Linked DNA regions of Kluyveromyces lactis. The protein of the gene in region 4 purifies or fractionates together with the protein of the main gene of each other region. This does not show direct contact. Links are inferred from orthologs where the notes say so. Each region holds a gene or a part of one and is shown on either strand. Other genes may lie near its edges.

Region 1 (4,023 bases), on a different chromosome or scaffold from region 4:
AAAGTAAAGTTTATCAAGGAAAAGGGACAGCAATTACTAGAACAGGGCCTCAAGAATGGTCTCAAAGAGTGTGTTAGGTTTTATGTCATAAGCTTCGCCGATTTGAAGAAATATAAGTTTTATTATTGGGTTTGTATGCCTACTTTCCAGTCTGAGGGGTCATCGTACGAAATAATCTCAACAAAATCAATCGAAGATGGTGTAAAGAAGGATATATGGGAGCAGAACAGCTTTATCTCCTGTGTTGTGGATGGAAAGATTCAGGAAGCATCACCTCAGTATCTCAAAGTATGTCAGAAAGTCATCTTCAAGGACTTCAGTCGGCTGAAGGGCATTCCTGCCGCAGTTACTAAGAACTTTCTAACGGTTTGGAGTCAAATATCCACAAGGAATACGTACACCATATGTTTCCTTCGTGATGATAATTCCAGCTTCGCGGCAGAGATCAGAGTTACCGGGAGCAATACAGGATGTCTTAAGGTCAGCGGTTGGGAGAAAAATGGTCTTGGAAAATTAGCTCCGAAATCGGCTGACTTAAGCTCATTGATGGATCCCGTGAAGATAGCAGAACAATCCATTGATCTCAATCTCAAGCTAATGAAATGGAGGATTGCTCCTGACATTGATCTAGAAAGAATAAAGAACATTAAAGCATTGATCTTGGGGTCAGGTACCCTAGGTTGCTACGTGGCTAGAGCTTTATTAGCTTGGGGTACTCGTCATGTAACTTTTGTCGACAACAGCACTGTCTCTTTCTCTAATCCGGTAAGGCAACCATTATTCAACTTTGAAGATTGTGGGCGACCAAAGGCCGAAGCTGCCAGTGACTCTCTGAAGAAGATATTTCCTTCTGTCGTTTCTGCAGGTTATCAATTGGAAATACCAATGATAGGACATCCTGTATCGAACGAAAGCAAGCAGAGGAAGGATTATGAAATTTTGGACGAGCTTATAAGGACGCATGATGTTATATTTCTTTTAATGGATGCACGCGAGACGAGATGGCTTCCCTCGGTGCTTGGACGAATGCATGAAAAAATAGTTATTAATGCGGCCCTTGGTTTTGACAGTTATTTGGTAATGAGACATGGCAACAATAATGACAACCTGGGTTGCTATTTCTGTAACGATATCGTGGCCCCAAGTGATTCTCTAACTGACAGAACATTAGATCAGATGTGTACTGTAACTAGACCGGGTGTTGCCCTATTAGCGGCTTCCCAGGCTGTTGAATTATTGGTGACATATCTTCAGCCTTCGACGAACGTGCTTGGGTCAGCTCCGCATCAAATACGAGGATTTCTAAATGAATTTAAAACTGTAAAACTTGAAACACCGGCATATCAGCACTGTTGTGCAAGCAATGAAAATGTCATTTTAACTCTAAAGGAAAACGGATGGAATTTCGTGAAACAGGCGCTAGATGATTATAAGTGTGTGGAGCAATTAAGTGGACTGTCGAAGGTGCAAGAGGAGGCTGAATTGGCAATTCAAGAAGATATTTCCTTTGATGACGACGAGGAATTGTCAATAGAGTGAAGTATAGCCAGTGCATCTGACAGGCTGATGCGTGGAATGATGTGACATGCATTCCTTTTGTGATGAAGCGTAGAAATCGATATTCGTCGTTAGGAAAAGGTGTTTATCTCTGATTTAACGGTCAGGATGAAATTTAGTTTTATAATTCCCAAGATAAATATAAGTCTTGCACAATTTGCAGCGTATTACGCCATGACGGGCTTGGTACACCTACATAACTGGGCCTTTTTCCGTGATCCATCAGCTTATACCAGGCATGTTTTAGATGTAGACTAAACTCGTTATCCGACTGTGGTGTACGGATGTATAAATCAACTTGAAAAATTACCAAAGCATACAAGAACGGGAATATATATTAGGTCGAGTAGACAGGATAAATAGTCACACGTAGACAAGATAAATAGTCACACGTAGACAAGAAGCTAAGCACCAAATGCCACCGAAGAGACGCCACCATGGTGCTGGAAGAGTCCAGAATAAGAGGGGAAAAGTTGACACTGTAAAAGAGGAAATCAAACCCAAAGATGAGCCTGTGGAAACTGAAATCGATGGCGGATCTGCAGTTGATGAAGATGTTACCGATGATTTAGAACACAAGACGAGCAAGGAAGACCAGAAGGAAGACCAGAAGGAAGAGGACGGACCTATAGATGCACAGAACGGAACTTCTGAAACAAAAGTTGCGGGGGAATCCGTAAAAACAGTGGAAGACAAAATCGAATCAGTTACAACGAATGAAGAGGTCGTTGAATCACCAGTCAATGACTACAATGCCAGTAGTACAACTACCAAGGCTGAAGAGAAACAATTAGAGGAAGAAGCAAATGAAAAGACGGATACATCTCCTATAGTTGAAAATGAGGTCGTTGATGAAGAGGCCGGCACAACAAAATTTGACTTTGATGGTCAAGAATACAGTTATAAAGACAGACCTAGTGTAATAGAAGAGAAGGAAGGAAAGATTGAATTCAGAGTGGTTAATAATGATAATAGCAAGGAAAATATGATGGTTTTAACAGGGTTAAAGAATATCTTTCAAAAGCAATTGCCTAAGATGCCCAAAGAATATATTGCTCGTTTAGTTTACGATCGTTCACATCTTTCTATGGCCGTGGTACGGAAACCGTTGACTGTTGTTGGTGGAATAACCTATAGACCTTTTGATAAAAGAGAGTTCGCAGAAATTGTCTTCTGTGCTATTAGTTCGACCGAACAAGTCAGAGGTTACGGTGCACATTTAATGAATCATTTAAAAGATTACGTGAGGGCAACATCGCCAATAAAGTATTTTCTAACATATGCGGATAATTATGCTATCGGGTATTTCAAGAAGCAGGGATTCACGAAAGAGATCACATTGGACAAGAATGTCTGGATGGGATACATAAAGGATTATGAAGGTGGTACCTTAATGCAATGTTCCATGCTGCCAAGAATCCGGTATCTTGATGCAGCAAAAATCCTCTTATTGCAAGAAGCAGCAATTAGAAGGAAAATTCGTAGCATTTCTCAATCTCACATAGTTCGTCCAGGTTTGAAACAGTTCTTGGATCTTGATAATATAAAACCCATCGATCCAATGACAATACCTGGTTTAAAAGAAGCTGGCTGGACTCCAGAAATGGACGAACTGGCGCAGAGACCAAAACGTGGCCCTCATTATGCAGCAATGCAAAATCTTCTCACCGAATTGCAAAATCATGCAGCGGCATGGCCCTTTTTGCAACCCGTCAATAAGGAAGAAGTCCCCGACTATTACGAATTTATTAAGGAACCAATGGATTTGAGTTCTATGGAAATGAAACTAAACGGGAACAGATACGAAAAGATGGAAAATTTCATATATGATGCAAGGTTAATATTTAACAATTGTCGTGCGTACAACGGTGAAAACACATCTTATTTCAAGTACGCAAATCGTCTAGAAAAATTCTTCAATTCTAAAGTCAAAGAGATTCCAGAGTATTCACATCTTGTGGATTAATACTAACGATAATGAAATACTAATTTGTCGATATCTTTGCGTACCTGAACAGTCTACATGGCGAAAGTTGGCACATATATATATGATATGTATAAATATACATATACCGAAAGTGTAACATTAAAAGGCTCAGAAGGAGCTCCTGTATGTATACAAGCAATCCATGATTAGAGAAATAATGAAATTTTATAATCGATTTTCTGTTGATTAATAACGTGTTTCGAAAGACAAGGAGTGTAATCTATCACTCCATTTCGACATCCGAATGTTCGGACCCAGGAGGCTTCTCCTCCTTTTCCTTTTCCTTTAACTCTTTTATAATTTCAGCAGTTTTCTCATCTGAATAGATTTGAAATCCCTCTTTTGTGATACTGCTCAATTGTGCATTATTTTCATCTAATTTCTCTTCCATTACTTGCTTTAAGATCTTTAACACCAGCGATTCCGCCTCTTTCAAAGTAAGCGATGAATGCCATTCGTTTTGTAATTCTGATTGTGCA
Region 2 (2,869 bases), on a different chromosome or scaffold from region 4:
GGTACTTAGAAATTACAGATGATATCACGGACGTGTGCGGTTCAGCGATGTTCGATACCGTGGGGAAGAGAACGCGATGCCTTGTTAGATTTAGTACTGTTGGTGGTGAGAAGGGTTCTGCCGATACGGCACGTGACCCAAGAGGGTTCGCTATCAAGTTCTATAGTGAAGAAGGGAATGTCGACTGGGTCAACAACAACACGCCAGTCTTCTTCATCAGAGATCCTTCTAAGTTCCCACATTTCATTCATACTCAAAAGAGAAACCCAGAAACCAATATGAAGGATGCTGACATGTTTTGGGACTTTTTGACGACAGAGGAGAATCAAGTCGCAATTCATCAAGTGATGATCTTGTTCTCCGATCGTGGTACTCCAGCTTCTTATCGTAACATGAACAGTTACTCGGGTCATACTTACAAATGGTCTAACAAGCAAGGTGAATGGCGCTACGTGCAAGTGCATTTGAAGACAGATCAAGGTATTAAGAACTTGAACAACGAGGAGGCGACTAAGTTGGCTGGTGAAAACCCTGACTACTGTCAAAAGGATTTGTTTGAAAACATCGCCAAGGGTAATTACCCATCTTGGACCCTTTACATTCAAACTATGACCGAAGAAGAGGCAGAAAAATTGCCATTCTCTGTATTCGATCTAACAAAAGTTTGGCCTCATAAGCAGTTCCCATTGCGTCGTGTAGGTAAGATGGTTTTGAATGAAAATCCAGAAAATTACTTCGCTCAAGTGGAACAGGCTGCATTCTCCCCATCGCACACCGTCCCATACCAAGAAGCTTCTGCTGACCCTGTCTTACAAGCACGTTTGTTCTCTTATCCAGATGCCCATCGTTACAGATTAGGCCCTAACTATTCTCAAATCCCTGTTAATTGTCCATATGCATCGAAGGTTTTCAACCCAGCTATCAGAGATGGCCCAATGAACGTTAACGGCAATTTGGGCAAAGAGCCAAACTATTTGTCTACTTCTAAGAAGTACCAATTCATTCAACAATCAAAGCCAATTCAACAACATCAAGAAGTATGGTCTGGGCCTGCAATGCCTGTACATTGGGCAACCTCACCAGGAGACATCGATTTCGTTCAAGCCAGAGACTTGTATAACAAAGTGTTGAGCAAACAGCCAGGTCAACAAAAGGCATTGGCCCACAATGTCGCAGTACACGTAGCAAGTGCATGCCCTGAAATCCAAGACCGTGTATTTGCCATGTTTGCAAGAGTCGACCGTGGTCTATCTGAAAACATCAAAAAGGAAGCTCTGAGCTTATCCCCAAGAAAGGCTGCTGCATTGAATGCAAAGTTATAGAGAGAATTAGCTGTGCTTTCTTTCTCTCTCTCTATCTCTTTCCGCTTTGTATGTACGTTTTATTTATCCCCATATTTATTACAAGTATACTATTAATATCTGTCCGTAATGAGATGCATGGTATCAGGCATTGTAGCCGCTAACATGTCGACTGTTGTCTCTTGTATTCTGCTTGTATTCCCTGTGCTTATCGTCAATTTTCTGCAATATCCAATTTTAATAGAAAAGCAAGGTCAAATTAGCTTACTTTGATATTGAAACAATCAATTCTGTTCTACGATCAGACATAAGACAACAGTACTGACTTGACTTATTCAGTATTTGCAACTATCAAGAGGTGGCTGTAACCATGACTGCTTCTTTGACCACAGATTCGGTTGCCGATTCCATATATCAGAACATTCTTACTTCTATCATCCAAGATATCATCTCGCGTCAAACAGTGAAGAGAAAGCTTCTGAAACTGCAATTCCCGGATGCTAAACCGTATTACGCTGACCCGTCAGGAACATTGGATATACACGGTAAGGCAAAGCAAGCAGACTCCGCCGTTTACATCGAATGTAATGTCTGTGGACGGGAAGTTAGTGGGAACAGGTTCGCTGCTCATCTCGTTAGATGCTTATCACGTGGTAGAAGGTGAGATTTCATTACCCAGCCTTAGTGCAGCCTTAAATCTTCCCCCAAACCCATAATGTGTGTCATTTCAAATCAAGTTGTCCAGCATCGTACCCTGTACCCTTAAACCTGTGATAACGATCTTTAACCCATCATTATAACGGTGTAAAGAGTTGTCAGGTGTTACTCTACAGAAGAGCGGAAAGTTAGAGACACTAGAACTAGCAAGTACCCTTCAGAGAATTAAACTGAGTTACTTATGTCGACTTTGCTAGAGACTTTAGATCAACAATGGGTCAATTCCAGATTATACGTTGATAAAGACGAGCGCAGGACCCAGCTTGGGAAATGTGTTGAAGAAGTGCACGACTTTAAGATCCAGTTGAAGAAATTGAAAGCGCATTTGCTGAAGCATGGATCAAGTCCACAGAAACGTCTTGTTATTAGGGAGAAACTAGCGAAATCTCATAAGAACTGGGATTCTTCCATGAAGAAATCCTTAAACTCTTCTATCAGCACTTACCGGAAGTTTTCAAAGGCGTGCGTCAAGCCCTTGAATGAGTTTCAATTGGATTCTGTTTATGTGAACAAGATAAACCCTCAGAAATTGTACTATTTGGATACGGCGATCTTTTCTCACATCGCAAGGTATTATACTAATATGGCTGTAGGAACCACGTCAGATGAAATGCTGAAGTATTTGCACTCTACGTATAGGATCCCCAGATCTATTGCAATGGATTATATAGAAATGGCCAACATTGTTAAAGAAATGAGATCAGGCAACTTGAATACCTGTATCCGATGGTGTCAGGATAATAACCTGGAAGTACTTCATTTCCAATTACATTACCTAAACGCGATGTCATTGTTGTCTGAAAATAAACCTATGGAGTGCTACTTGTATATACAGACGAACTTGGCGTCGA
Region 3 (3,975 bases), on a different chromosome or scaffold from region 4:
TGGAACAATTTACCATGGGTGTAGCAGATACTATTCTAGTTAATTCTAATTTTACAAAGCAGGTATTTGCCAAAACGTTCCAGTCACTAGCCGTTGACCCTAAAGTGGTTTACCCTTGTGTAAACGTAGAGCAAGAAGAAATACTTCCTTTAGATAAAGATCTTATGAAGAAGATCTTGAAGAACAATGAAAAGTATTATCTATCTATCAACAGATACGAAAGGAAAAAAAACATTGAATTGGCTATCACTGCTTTTGCACAATCAAAACAACGTACCTCCCATAAACTATTTATATCTGGAGGTTACGATTTGAATAATTCCGAGAATATCGACTATCTAAAAGAATTGGAAACTTTGGCCACTGAATTGAAATTGAAGCACGTTCATCTTTCATATCCAGAATACTCCAAGAGTCCTGACAAGTGTCCATCAAGTAACTTCGCTGATGCTCAAATATTGTTTTTGACTTCTGTGTCATCGTCTCTCAAGGAATTACTATTGCAAAGTACTGAAATGTTGCTATACACTCCTTCTAACGAACACTTTGGAATTGTACCACTCGAGGCTATGAAGTATGGTGTACCTGTTTTGGCAGTAGATACGGGTGGTCCACTAGAAACAGTGGTAGATTACAATGAGACACCTTCTCATATTGATGCAACTGGTTGGTTACGACCATCCGATGCTGATGAATGGTCAAAAGTGTTGGATCAATCCGTAGACATATTTGAAAAGAATCACTCCTTATTCGAAGTTAACGGTCCTAAACGTATTAAGTACTATTTCTCCAGAGAAGCGATGTCCAAAAACTTTGATAATACCATCGACCATATTATTTGGAAGTCAAGAGGAACGCGTTTATGGAGCACATTAGCTCCAGGGCTACTGATGTTCACTGTCCAATATGCTACACTGTTGATAACAGGCGATGCTTCTTGGCCATATTTATTGCTAGCTGCGATTTCTTATTTTGTATTAAGAAGTGTAAAGGCCACTGTGTACTGGATCATCGTTTTCTGTTACCTAAACTATTCAACTTAAAAGCGAAGCCAATCTTAATTTATTATAACGACTTGTGCAAAATATATACACATACCCCTCAAAGTTAAGAGATGAAAAACAGACGTTAACAAGCTATTAAGTTTCTAAATATTACACTAATTAACTCTTCCTCCATATCCATTTACACCAAATTGAACACCAGGTTGATTTGAATTGCTTCGACTTTGAGTATTAACCGGTGAGCCTATTGTTTGCTGCATCAACTTAGAAGCCGTATCTAGTTGAGCACTGGCGTCTTCCATTCTTTTCTTCTGCAGGAGTTTCTGTTGCTGTTGTTGCATTATTAGCTGTTGAGTTTGAATATCCCGAGGGGTGATGCCCTGGGTCATCATGGGTTGTTGCCCTGCAGGTTTTCCAGCCTGAACTGACTGTGGAATTTGCATTTGCATTTGAGATAACGATCCGGTAGCACTAGATTGTCGTTGCCGCTGTTGTTGTTGCTGTTGTTGCTGCTGCTGCTGCTGTTGTTGTTTCAAACGTTGGGCCTGTAATATTTGAAGCTGTTCTGGTGTCAAGTTTTGAGGTGATGCGTTAATAGGTTGAGGCGTACGTATACGGAACGTATAATCAGTCGTTCTATCAATGTCAATAAGACCGACCCTTGAGCGGAACGCACCAACTCCAGGGCTCTTAAAGCCTGGTTTTATACTGAAAGCAGACCCAAACATTTCTCTCATTCTGACGTACTTGGTTCTTGATCGTGTAGAAGTCAATACCGTAGTTTCTAACGGTAGTGGGTATGAACGTGAAACACCGTTCAAAACCAGAGTAGTCTCTTCTTCAGGGGACAATTTGGGTAATGACTCATTGACCACTTCATTGCTGCTGGTTTTCCCAGTGTTTTTATCTTTCCCCTTTTGTTTAACTTGTGGATCCTGCTGATTTTGCTGTGCCTTTTGGATTCTAGTCTTGGACGCCGAAGATTTCAACTGGTTGCGTTTCTGATAATCAGCTAATAATATGTCAAATGGCTGTGACCGTCCCTCCACTGCACGTTTCGCTCCCATTGAGTGCGATTTACATGTTAATGATCTACCGCAAACACCACCTTCAGGTAATGGTACACCACACTGTTTATCGAAGTTAACCAGATGTGGCTCTGTCGGGTTTCGCTGTTTTATCTTCCTTTGTTTTCTAGTCGATCCAGAAGGAGTGGATGATTTCTGTTTCTTTGAAGGTGAATCGAAATTCTCAGGATCTATCGACGAGGATCTCTTATTACTCCCCTTACTTTTAGCAGGAGAAGACATGATATCCTGCGTCTCATTCTTTTTCACAGGCATTTTATCAATACAGTGATTCTCTAAATGATCTATAATAGCTGACACCAATACCGGCTGGTGGCAAGCTGTACAATTCCTATAACGGATATCCTCTTTAGAAACGCCAGATAAAACTTCTGACGGCCTGCTCAAGTATTTTGAACGAATATCCGTGGATGATAAATCCGAACTATTCCCGTTATTCTTAACAATAGACAGTAACTCCTTCCAACCGTTCTTGCTACTTCCTAAATCTTCTAATTGAATGTCTGATCTGATTCCTTTAATCTCTATATTGACACTTGACATGCTCTTGTACCAAAATCAGCCAGGTAAAAAAAAAATGATAGGGAGAATTACGATGGAAATGATGAATGAATTGAGACAAGCTAACAATGATCAAACTGTCCTTACCTAGCTTTCAAAAATAAACCAGAGTCTATCGGTGGTAATGCAAATTGGTGCCTAACTATGGTAAAAATAGCACGTTAAAAAAAAAGAATCTGGTATGAAGTGAGCCCTCAATATTGATTGTACAAAAGTAACTTTTGTGGCAGGTAAATAACACGTTAGAACTATCTCAAAAGCCTTTTAAAATCTTTGGATCACCCGCTCTAAATACTTTCAAGCATCTGAATTCATGTATTATCTTATGAAATGTTTCTGTCCATCGGTATGTTATTCCTGTCGAAATCGTCGACTTTCAGAAAGGGAAACTTGAAAGTTCTTACAATCACGTGATATGACTTAATGGAATGTGTCAATCCCCCACACACCAATTGGTCCGTCGATAATCGAATTGCAAGCTAAATATAACATATTTCAGGATATTAACTTCCTATGGTATGTGTGTTATATAGATTGTCTACGAAATGAAATGACATTTAAATGAAGTGGATTCTTCTTAACAATAAAACGGTTACTTTCAACAAGGTGATATCATGGAATACTGGGACAGTGGCCCATCTTGAGCTAAGGATCCTTTCAGCCACTTCGAATACCCGAAGTCTAAGGTATAGTCTAAAACCTTCAGAGCTATTGAAAATTGGCGGTACAAACGGCACTGCTTTCCGAATGTACTCATCTCGAATTGACACTGAAGCTACCGGATCATCAACGATAATCCCGGTAATGGTCATACTACTGATATATTTGATGTCAATTTCGGAATTGACGGTCCAAAGGTATACGGCAAGGTTGTTTTCTTGCAAGTATGGTAATACAGTTTTCTTGAAATCGGGTTTCCAAGAGTTAATGAAATGAAGACTGACACCATGCAACTTGTAGTTGTCATCGCTCAAGGATTTAGAGTATTCGACAAATTTAGTAGCCATCGCTGTGAAGGGTAAGATGGCCACGATCTTGAAACCCTTCAGTGTGGCCGTGGTGACCCCGTATTTGTACCAATCAAGTTGCCACAATCCGAACATCAAACGTTGCCTCCAGAAATCTAAATCATCGACTACTGCTCTCATTTCAAGAATCGCCTTGATTAAAAGAACCTTATCATTTGTAGGCTTGATATCCAACATAAATTTCATTGTAGGGTGTTCTTTTAACCATTGTAAGGCGTCCTTGAATGTCGTTATCCTGATTTCTGGATTTATCTTACTCTTCAACAGTAGTAATTCATCCAAGTTCGTCTCACC
Region 4 (4,176 bases):
ATTCTTTGAACCTTAGCGGTTGTTGTGAATTTTTGGGTTTATTTGGATTTTGTAGTGCTCTAATCAAAGAAATTTTATGACATATATGCCTAATCTCATGTATCAACTGGATATTCGTGTTCATTTTTGGACTCAACCCCTTATCGACAGTATTCAACAAAGAGCTCTTCATTACTTTTCCTTCCTTCATAATTTTTTGAACCATAGCTTCCTCAGCTTTATCTAATTGTTCTTTCCCAATACCTGTATATGCCAAGTCCGGGATATAATTAGTGATGTTGTACTCTGTCAATAACGAAGAATCTTCGAGAGTGATTTCATTCGATTCTTTAGTCAAGGAACTTTCGGCATCTTGTGATTTAACGTTCGTGTCAGAAAAATTCGATACACTGCTATCTGCTTGGTTCATTATTGCCCCAAAACCGTTTTTCATCATTGACTGTTCTTGTAATTTTTGTCTTGCAAATTCTGCTTCTTTCTGTTGCTTATACTCCTCGAAGAACTGATCAAAATTCTTTAATTTAGAAGGATTTTTCAAGAGGGCATCAGATTCGGAATTAATTTTGTGTTCGTTGAACAATTGTGATCTTTTCAAACAAATTTCAGCACGGGCTTTGGCTGTAAGTGTTTTCCATGTGGACAATTCCAGATCGTCCTTATCGTCATCTCGTTCAAGAAGCATCATTCCAGCGGCATTATCTTCTTCATCTTCATCCTCTTCCTCTTCCTCTTCTTCTGCATCCTCATGTTCTTGGTTTTTTTCAACAGTTGACACTGCTTTACTTTCAACTGCTGGTTCAGTAGATTCGTTATTAGTCGAAGATTGAGCCACTTTGGAGCCTCTCCCCTCTGCAGAAACTATGCCAACTTCTGGCGTTTGTTCAGCTTCGTTAGTGGAAGGTGTTTTGTCACTGCTTACTGTTTTATTGGTGGATTGTTGTTGATTCCGTTCAGCATCAGTTGCTCGTGTTTTTTTACCTCCAGGATGGTTCTCTTCCATTTCTTCTTCTTCATCGTCAATAACCTTTTGAACACCACGTCTCTGAATACCCTTACGACCTGAACCAGCATCCTCTTCATCGTCTTTAATGTTGCTCTCGGCGTCTATATCTTCTAGTTCTTTTTCAACTTGCGCTCTATCACGGATTGTTATATCTGGTATTAGTGGTACTAGTTGTTGAGATTTCTTCTGCATCGCAATTGCATGGGCTCTCAAGAAATGCTTAGGATCCGAGTTATACGTGAGGCAGTTTCTCCATATTAACATAATATCATCAACAAACTCATGTTTAGATTTATACTGAAAAGTTTTGAGCTTCTTCAGCACAGTGTTCAAATCCATTGGTTTTTTAATTATTTGGTAATAGTTTGGAGCTTCTCTCTTGCTGACTTTGTTAAGAAATGCAGTAGAATGCTCTGTGAAATTTCTGAGTTCCAGTACCACCTTCTCGCATGCATCGTATAATTCTTCTTGTCCAATTTTATCTTCAGAAGCCCATTTAGATCTGTTCATTCTAACATCCATTAATAAATGTTTAAGTTCGTAATCTGAAATATCTAGCTTACTTTTATTTTCCTGTACCGATTTGAGCAAATGCCTTAATGACAGATTTACGACACCGAGGTCCATTTGGATATCTGCTTTAGTCTTAGTATTGATCTTCTTATCTGCCGCAGACTTATGATGAGATATGCTAGGGTTCCCTGAGTCATCCTCTTCTTCGTCTTCAATCTGTTCGTGAGACCTTTTCCTTGAGCTTTCTAGCATTTGATCATTTTCCTGAAGTTTTAAACGCCTCATAGTGGTCTCTTTATCATTGTCAAAGAGATGATATATTTTGTGAAAGTTACCGATGATATCGTAGGTATTTACAGATGGAAGTTCGTTCAAAGTTTCCTTTGAGATGATGAAATGCAGTCTTATGAGTCCGTTATCAAGTTGCTCGTAAATTGGCGATTCAGTTTCATCTGACACTTTGGGTTTCTCATCAAGATCATTAGGATGAGAGATTTTTCCATTTTCTGTATCATTTTTTTCTATCTTTTGAGGATCTTCTTCAGCATCATCGTAATTATCCTCGTCGTCGTCATCATCATCTTCATCATAGTTATCATCTTCATCAGAGCCTTCTTTGTTTTCGCTATTCTTGCTCACTTCTTTCATAGTCAAGGGTGCTGTGTCATTTGTAGGAAGCGTGGAAGAGTTGGGAACCGCACTTTGATCTATAAGAGTATTATTACTTCCATCCTCTATTACAGCGCTATCATTATCCGTGTCAAGTAGAAGGTATTCTGAGGATGTTTCTGGCTCAAGGAGAGTGAGTCCATGTTCCCATACAACGTACCTGACTTTCATAGATAAATTTCCTATAAAATCCAGTCCATCTAGCTGGGCCTTCAATTGTTCCAAATCGATCATATCACTGTCGTCATCGTCAACACTTTGGTTATCAGTCGAATCATGTAAAGGAGTGCCAGTTCTCGAGAGTCCAGAACTAGCTTGAGGTTGTTGTTGTGTTGATAATGATGGTAATCTGGTAGCCGCTACCAAATCATTAGTGGCACCTTTGTCGGAAGTTGCATTAAGAGTTGTATTCAGTTCTACAAATAGTTCCAACTTGCCGGAGAGAAACGCATCCCATATAAGTGTCTTTGATTCTTGGTCTGGTAGACTCAACAAGTACTTCAATAAAAGTAACTGACTCGGATTGAGGTGCTTTTTAAATACATCATCTGCGAATAACTTCTGGATGGTTCGAAGTATTGCGGCGGCATCGGACCGCTGGTAACTTGTAATCATGGACAGTCAACTTTTTCCGCAGAAAGAACCACTAGAGTAAATAAAGAGTAGTTTTGAAGGAAAATTCTGAATCAATTCCTTCACTACCAGCTCGCTTGCCTCTCGTTTTACTGATACAAGCTGTAAACGGCACGACTTTTGAGTGTATGGTCCGAATCTTGTTTGTCCATCAGTTGCACCGATTGTCTGTGTTTTCCAAAATTCACGAAATGTCAAAAAACATCAAAACGTATAAAGTGATATTGGGACAGTCATACGGCTTATTCGTTTCAGCGGCGCTTAGCCTTAACATACAAGAGTTGAGTATCCAACAGCTCTACCCAGTTGTATCTATATATATAGGACTAGTTGTGGTAGGTTTTTAGTACCTAGGTAAGCATTGATAAATTGATTTTCACTAGCTAGAATGATCAGGCGTATGTCTCTCCATTTCTATAATTGTGACCAAATTGGCACATTCAGAAACCAATGTCTGTGGACAAAAACCAGTCTTGAAAAGTCTTGAAAAATCTTGTATAATTATAACCAATGGTTCTAGCTTACCTGTCGGAAACAGTCGTCTAATGGAAATGAAATATATCAAAATTATACGGTATATATACCTACATGTACCATGAGCACATACACAATATAATATAAAGAAAATTGGTGCGTTAATATATATACTATTCTTTCTAATACTTTAAACCTTGAAAGCTTGAAGTTGAGAATTGTGTCAGAAGAAGTCCAAAACGATGTGAGTTGAAAGTACCGATAACAAAAAGGGGTAGGATATACAATGGTGGAAGGTTTGAGTATTTTTTTAGTCGGATTAAGATGATATTACTTTCCGCCGAACCCTGTCCTTTTGTAGTATTCTTTTCTTCGGTTCATTCTTCTTTTTTTTTTGTTATATTTCTTTCAAATAGCATACTTCTTAGTCCATTCTCTAGCAGTAGCCTCGTACTTAGCTCTATCGGTCTTATACAAATGAGCGATTTCAGGGACCAAAGGATCATCAGGGTTAGCGTCTGTTAGAAGAGAACAAATGGACAACAAGACCTTAGAGATAGTTAAAGCTGGAGACCATTGATCTTTTAGGATATCTAGACAGATGTTACCATTAGCGTTGATATTTGGGTGGTAGATCTTAGTGGTGAAAGAGATCTTTGGTGGTTTGAAGGGGTAATCTGTTGGGAAATGGATTGATAGGAAGAAAACACCGCCTGCATATGGGGAATCTGGAGGACCCATGATAGAGGCTTGCCAGTGATATACATCATCACCTACTGGACCAGCAGAGCATGAAGTTGGGGGGTCTCTGGAGGGAAAAAAGAGGGAAATGCGATTTTTTCCAATAGAATGTTAGTAAAAGAGAAAAAGTGGGATTAACAGAG
Region 5 (4,706 bases), about 970 kb from region 4:
CCTTAAGTCAATTGTACAGAAAACCTGGGGCAAACACTCCTTTGACTCGAGCACAACGTCCCACCCGTTCCCTGGAAACGCGAAGGGAAGGATTACCTAATGGTTCTGAAACAGTAAGAAAGCTTCAAAACTCAGAATGGTTTCAAACTAAAAGCTGATTCCAGCTTCCGGAAAGATATCAAAAGGGAAAGAAAACAGAGAAAAGAAAAAAGGACGGCGATAATTGGTTTGCCAAACTTGTTTAGATCAAATCTTCCACTGGAATGCCTCGTCCAATGTCTTTCTCACCGCTGACTCTGTATCTTCCTGGTTGCCTTTGTTCACCGAAATTGAATAAGCAGGAAAAAATACCCTGATTTCTGCACTAGAAACAAACGCTTTTTTGGCAAATCTAAATCGACGTACAATAGGAAAGATTATCCTACTCACAGACCTACTGATTCACTCACGCAGTGACTCAACGGCGTATGGCTTTTCTATAGAAGAAGCAGCTGGCGTTTTAGAACGGTTTGCTAGTGTATCTGATGGGCCTTGCGATGAGATGGAGCAACGTTTGACGATGGAAAGACAAGTATCAGAACTGAGAAGAAGGCGAATTCCTTTAATTTTCCAACTTTCGTGCTTGAATTCTTGTTTTTTTTCCCAACTTCACCGTTTCATTGCTGTTCAACTTCGTCTCCTGACATTAGTGGAACCCCAATGGGATTATTTTTACATGAACCGGGTAACGAAATAGTAAAATAAGGGCAACGTGACTTATAATTTCTGTTATATTACAGACGCGGCACGCATTACCTCCAATTGCCACGTCAAATGAAGGTACCCCCGTAGTATGTACATTGGTAACTGGCATCCCGCAAAATAAGCATCCCTTCTTTGGAAGTTGAAAAACACGAATCCAGATCCAATTACTGGACTCCTACCCCTGGATGGAAAAACGAAAAGGAAGTCATTTGTGGGGGGTATGGCTTTGGCATCGTGAAATAGGGATCTTCATTTACCCACCCAAGGCCACTGCAAAATTCCCGACCCTTTAAAGCCTCTCCCCACTGTTTCTCTGTACACATATATTTTATACTGGGTTCTCTAGATATGTAGCTTAACTGCGTTCTGCGAGTAAAAATTAAAATAAAGTTCGAATCGAAGTCTAAAAACGTGCTGTGGACTCCGGGGCTGTTCAACCTGTTACCCGGAGATGTACTGAAAAGATAATTCTTGAATCCGTAAAACGTGACCTTTAATTCAGATCTCTAAATGCCAGTTACTTTGTGTCTGAGAGTAGTTTCCAGGTTGAAAGTTGAATATGGAAAAAAATAAAACTGAAAAATGTGAATGAATAAGTAAACAAATAAACAGCAAATGATTGCTAAATCATTGCCTTAGCAAGCTTGAACTATACCAGTACTTGAGCTTAGGAGTAAGCTGAATAAGGAACTAGGTATACTTGCTTAGCCTTTTAAAAAAAAAAAGCGTGAAAGAGAAGAACCTCTTAGCACAGTTTCCGGCTTGCTTAATATGTCTTCGAACGGCAAACAACAGGGAAACAAGGCAGGCGATGCAGCTGGGGGAGCGTCAGGAGCCACGGCTCCCGGTGCAGGCGGAAGTAGTGGCAATGGAAATAGTAGTGCGGCCGGAAATGCTAGCGCTAATGCCAATGCTGGCGGTAGCGGTGCCAGTGGGAATGCACCGGCAGCTTCTAAACCGGGGTTTTCAGCGTCAGATTTGAACCGCATCGTTTTGGAATATTTGAATAAGAAGGGGTATCACAGAACGGAACAGATGCTTCGTGCTGAATCGTCACGTACTTTGACGCCTCCAAATAAAAACGCTGCTGCTTCTAACACAATCCCTGCCTCGTCTGCATCAGCCACTGCGATTACAGGAAGTACTACCACTGCAAAACCTGTTTCAAATCCTTCGATGCCCTTGAAAAGAGATAACAACGGCCAATTGATAAAACCGCAACAGGTGACACCCTTGCACTATTTTAGAGCTTACTCAATGTTGAAAAATTGGATCGATTCGTCTTTAGAATTGTACAAACCTGAGCTATCACGTATCATATACCCGATTTTCATTTACGTTTTTTTACAGTTGGTCATCAAGGACCCCTTACAAGCGAGAAGATTCTTTGACAAGTATTCTGTCGATTACAAAGCCCTTCATGGATCAGAAATTAACCGATTATTCAGTGTCAACTCAGTAGATCACATCAAGGAAAATGAGTTGGCTCAAGGTTTCCAAACCAATAAATATAAGATCACAATCTCAAGAACTACTTTGAACCTTTTGTTGTATTTCTTGAACGAAAACGAAAGTGTGGGAGGATCTTTGTTGATTTCCATCATAAACCAAAACTTGGATCCAAATATCGTAGATGTTGTCAAATCTGAGGATATTCTCACCGACGGGATCAAAGATATCTCAACCGGTGATATTGATGTTGATACGTATAACTCGGTACCTGTGAAGTTAGGACCGTATCCAAAGGACGAAGAGTTCACCAAGGAAGTAGAGATTGAGTTGCAGAAAAAAGATGAACAAGAGGCAGCTGAGAATAAGGATAAACCTGTCGGTAAGACATTAGTTGAGGAATATAGAGAAATGAACGGTAATCAGAACAAACCAGAGGGCACTGAAAAAGCTGATGATAACACCGTTAAGGAAGAAAATGAAAATAAGGAACCTGAAGCTGAAGAGGGTGGAGAAGAAGTCGATGCAACAGCAGATACAGAAGAGAAAGGCACTCCTACACTTAGTGTCGAATCATCGGCTGCTGAAAGAAAGAAAAGAGACTCAAAGAATAAAGACGAGGAAGAAAAACCAGAGGCTTCAATTGGATCTATGATGGAATCACCAGCAAAGGATTCGTTGCCGCTACCGGTAAAAACAACTTTAGATCTAAAGATGGAAATTCAAAAAGTAAGGGAGAGTAGAGATTCCATCCAATTGAAAAACCTACAAACTTCTGCACCAAGTGTGTGTATGTACACTTTCCACAACACTAATGGTAATATGACTTGCGTAGAATTTAGTGATGATGCTAGACTAACTGCAGCTGGTTTCCAAGACAGTACAATTAAGGTATGGTACCTTGATGGATCACCGCTACAGTCGATCCTCCCATCCAAAGCTAAAGACCAATCGAACTCTGCTACTTTGGTAGGACACAGCGGACCAGTTTATTCCGTTGCATTCAGCCCGGATAACAGGTACTTACTTAGCGCATCTGAAGATAAAACTGTCAGACTTTGGTCTTTAGATACGTTCACTTGCCTAGTGTGTTACAAAGGCCATAACCATCCAGTATGGTACGTCAAGTTTTCTCCACTTGGCCATTATTTCATCACCGCTTCACATGATCAAACGGCTAGACTATGGTCTTGTGATCATATCTATCCGTTGAGAATTTTCTCAGGTCATCTAAATGACGTGGATTGTAGCACTTTCCATCCAAATGGTTGCTATGTTTTCACTGGTTCCAGCGACAAAACGTGCCGTATGTGGGATATTCAAACAGGTGATTCTGTTAGACTGTTTTTGGGACATACATCACCAGTCACCGCACTTGAAGTATCGCCTGACGGTAGGTGGTTAACTACGGGCAGTGAGGATGGCACAATTATCGTATGGGATATTGGTACTGGTAAAAGAATCAAACAGATGAAGGGTCACGGTAAGAATCCTATCTATTCCATAACTTTTAACAAAGAAGGTAACTGTCTAGTAACAGGTGGTGCGGATCAAAGTGTTAGAGTTTGGGATATAAAGAGGTTTACAAACGAGCCTGGAATGGAGCCGGAACAACAATTCAACACGTATTCAGGAGATATGGAACTCAGTGTAAATAACGATATCAAAGAATTCGGACGTAGGCGGGCAGTAATACCAACTCAGGATTTGATGGCTTCGTTCCATACAAAGAAAACAGCAATTCACAAAGTAAAATTCACAAGAACGAACCTAGTTTTGGCTGGTGGTGCATTTATTGAGTAAATGCGATTACTTTACTCAGCCAGATAAGGGTCGTTTATTCGACATATCTAGTAGTTGTCCAATTGTAATAAATAAAAAAAAAGAGAATGCGCTTTATCTTTATATTATTTACAATGAGTACGTATATTTTATGTGCATTGATATCAATGCAGTCAATGAAATGTAAATGTTAACAGAATCCTAATAACTAATCTAATATTGGTTTTTCAGCGTCCCACTGCTGTAAAATCGGATGTCCTTTATAATAGTAGCTTTCCCAGTGGATATAGTAATGAGGGATTCCAAATAATAGTAACAAAGATGATATTCCCAAAGGTATCGTGATCCCGACACCCATTAACTTCGTTATAAAATAGTAGACTGTACCATGTGTCGCAATAACACATAGTATATGCAGGAATTTCAACTTATTCTTTATGAAATACTTTTCCATCGTCGGCAGTAGAATGTTAATTTGGATACATATCAAAAGGAAACAGAAAACTTGGGTGGAGGTATCTAATCTTGAAGAAAGTACGGTCACATTTGAGAGTAGAATATTGGTCGGTAGGATTTTAGATTCAAGAGCGGAGATCGATATGATGTAAAAGGTTGTGAACCATGCAGATAGAGTCCAGATGGAATCGGACGAAGTTGTCTTGGACAAAGATTTAAGCACTGGAGATAAGGTCAACATTGCAAATATAATGATGATAGTGGATTTCCAGGGT

What was found.
Region 1: the proteins of SPT7 (region 4) and GCN5 purify together in Saccharomyces cerevisiae (affinity purification with mass spectrometry; 28 studies listed by BioGRID, with this or other methods). This does not show direct contact. The link is inferred for Kluyveromyces lactis from reciprocal best matches to the Saccharomyces cerevisiae genes SPT7 and GCN5.
Region 2: the proteins of SPT7 (region 4) and SGF11 purify together in Saccharomyces cerevisiae (affinity purification with mass spectrometry; 11 studies listed by BioGRID, with this or other methods). This does not show direct contact. The link is inferred for Kluyveromyces lactis from reciprocal best matches to the Saccharomyces cerevisiae genes SPT7 and SGF11.
Region 3: the proteins of SPT7 (region 4) and SGF73 purify together in Saccharomyces cerevisiae (affinity purification with mass spectrometry; 17 studies listed by BioGRID, with this or other methods). This does not show direct contact. The link is inferred for Kluyveromyces lactis from reciprocal best matches to the Saccharomyces cerevisiae genes SPT7 and SGF73.
Region 5: the proteins of SPT7 (region 4) and TAF5 purify together in Saccharomyces cerevisiae (affinity purification with mass spectrometry; 25 studies listed by BioGRID, with this or other methods). This does not show direct contact. The link is inferred for Kluyveromyces lactis from reciprocal best matches to the Saccharomyces cerevisiae genes SPT7 and TAF5.

What each region holds. Positions count from the first base shown.
Region 1 is NC_006037.1:454,956-458,978, reverse strand, and holds GCN5 (histone acetyltransferase GCN5), read left to right. Parts: upstream 1-1,972; coding exon 1,973-3,523; downstream 3,524-4,023. Other genes in the region: ATG7 (Atg7p), read left to right, coding at 1-1,539; PUP2 (proteasome core particle subunit alpha 5), read right to left, coding at 3,768-4,023. UniProt on the Saccharomyces cerevisiae protein: Histone acetyltransferase that acetylates histone H2B to form H2BK11ac and H2BK16ac, histone H3 to form H3K9ac, H3K14ac, H3K18ac, H3K23ac, H3K27ac and H3K36ac, with a lower preference histone H4 to form H4K8ac and H4K16ac, and contributes to H2A.Z acetylation.
Region 2 is NC_006040.1:996,999-999,867, forward strand, and holds SGF11 (SAGA histone acetyltransferase complex subunit SGF11), read left to right. Parts: upstream 1-1,671; coding exon 1,672-1,965; downstream 1,966-2,869. Other genes in the region: CTA1 (catalase A), read left to right, coding at 1-1,322; ubiquitin-protein ligase RMD5, read left to right, coding at 2,200-2,869. UniProt on the Saccharomyces cerevisiae protein: Component of the transcription coactivator SAGA complex. SAGA acts as a general cofactor required for essentially all RNA polymerase II transcription. At the promoters, SAGA is required for transcription pre-initiation complex (PIC) recruitment.
Region 3 is NC_006038.1:213,584-217,558, forward strand, and holds SGF73 (deubiquitination module subunit SGF73), read right to left. Parts: upstream 2,636-3,975; coding exon 1,160-2,635; downstream 1-1,159. Other genes in the region: ALG2 (GDP-Man:Man(1)GlcNAc(2)-PP-dolichol alpha-1,3-mannosyltransferase), read left to right, coding at 1-1,043; PGC1 (phosphatidylglycerol phospholipase), read right to left, coding at 3,211-3,975. UniProt on the Saccharomyces cerevisiae protein: Component of the transcription coactivator SAGA complex. SAGA acts as a general cofactor required for essentially all RNA polymerase II transcription. At the promoters, SAGA is required for transcription pre-initiation complex (PIC) recruitment.
Region 4 is NC_006041.1:1,117,266-1,121,441, reverse strand, and holds the start of SPT7 (SAGA histone acetyltransferase complex subunit SPT7), read right to left. Parts: upstream 2,801-4,176; coding exon 1-2,800. Other genes in the region: KLLA0_E12563g (uncharacterized protein), read right to left, coding at 3,701-4,100. UniProt on the Saccharomyces cerevisiae protein: Component of the transcription coactivator SAGA complex. SAGA acts as a general cofactor required for essentially all RNA polymerase II transcription. At the promoters, SAGA is required for transcription pre-initiation complex (PIC) recruitment.
Region 5 is NC_006041.1:2,087,001-2,091,706, forward strand, and holds TAF5 (chromatin modification protein), read left to right. Parts: upstream 1-1,515; coding exon 1,516-3,996; downstream 3,997-4,706. Other genes in the region: GPI2 (phosphatidylinositol N-acetylglucosaminyltransferase), read right to left, coding at 4,184-4,706. UniProt on the Saccharomyces cerevisiae protein: Functions as a component of both the DNA-binding general transcription initiation factor complex TFIID and the transcription coactivator SAGA complex.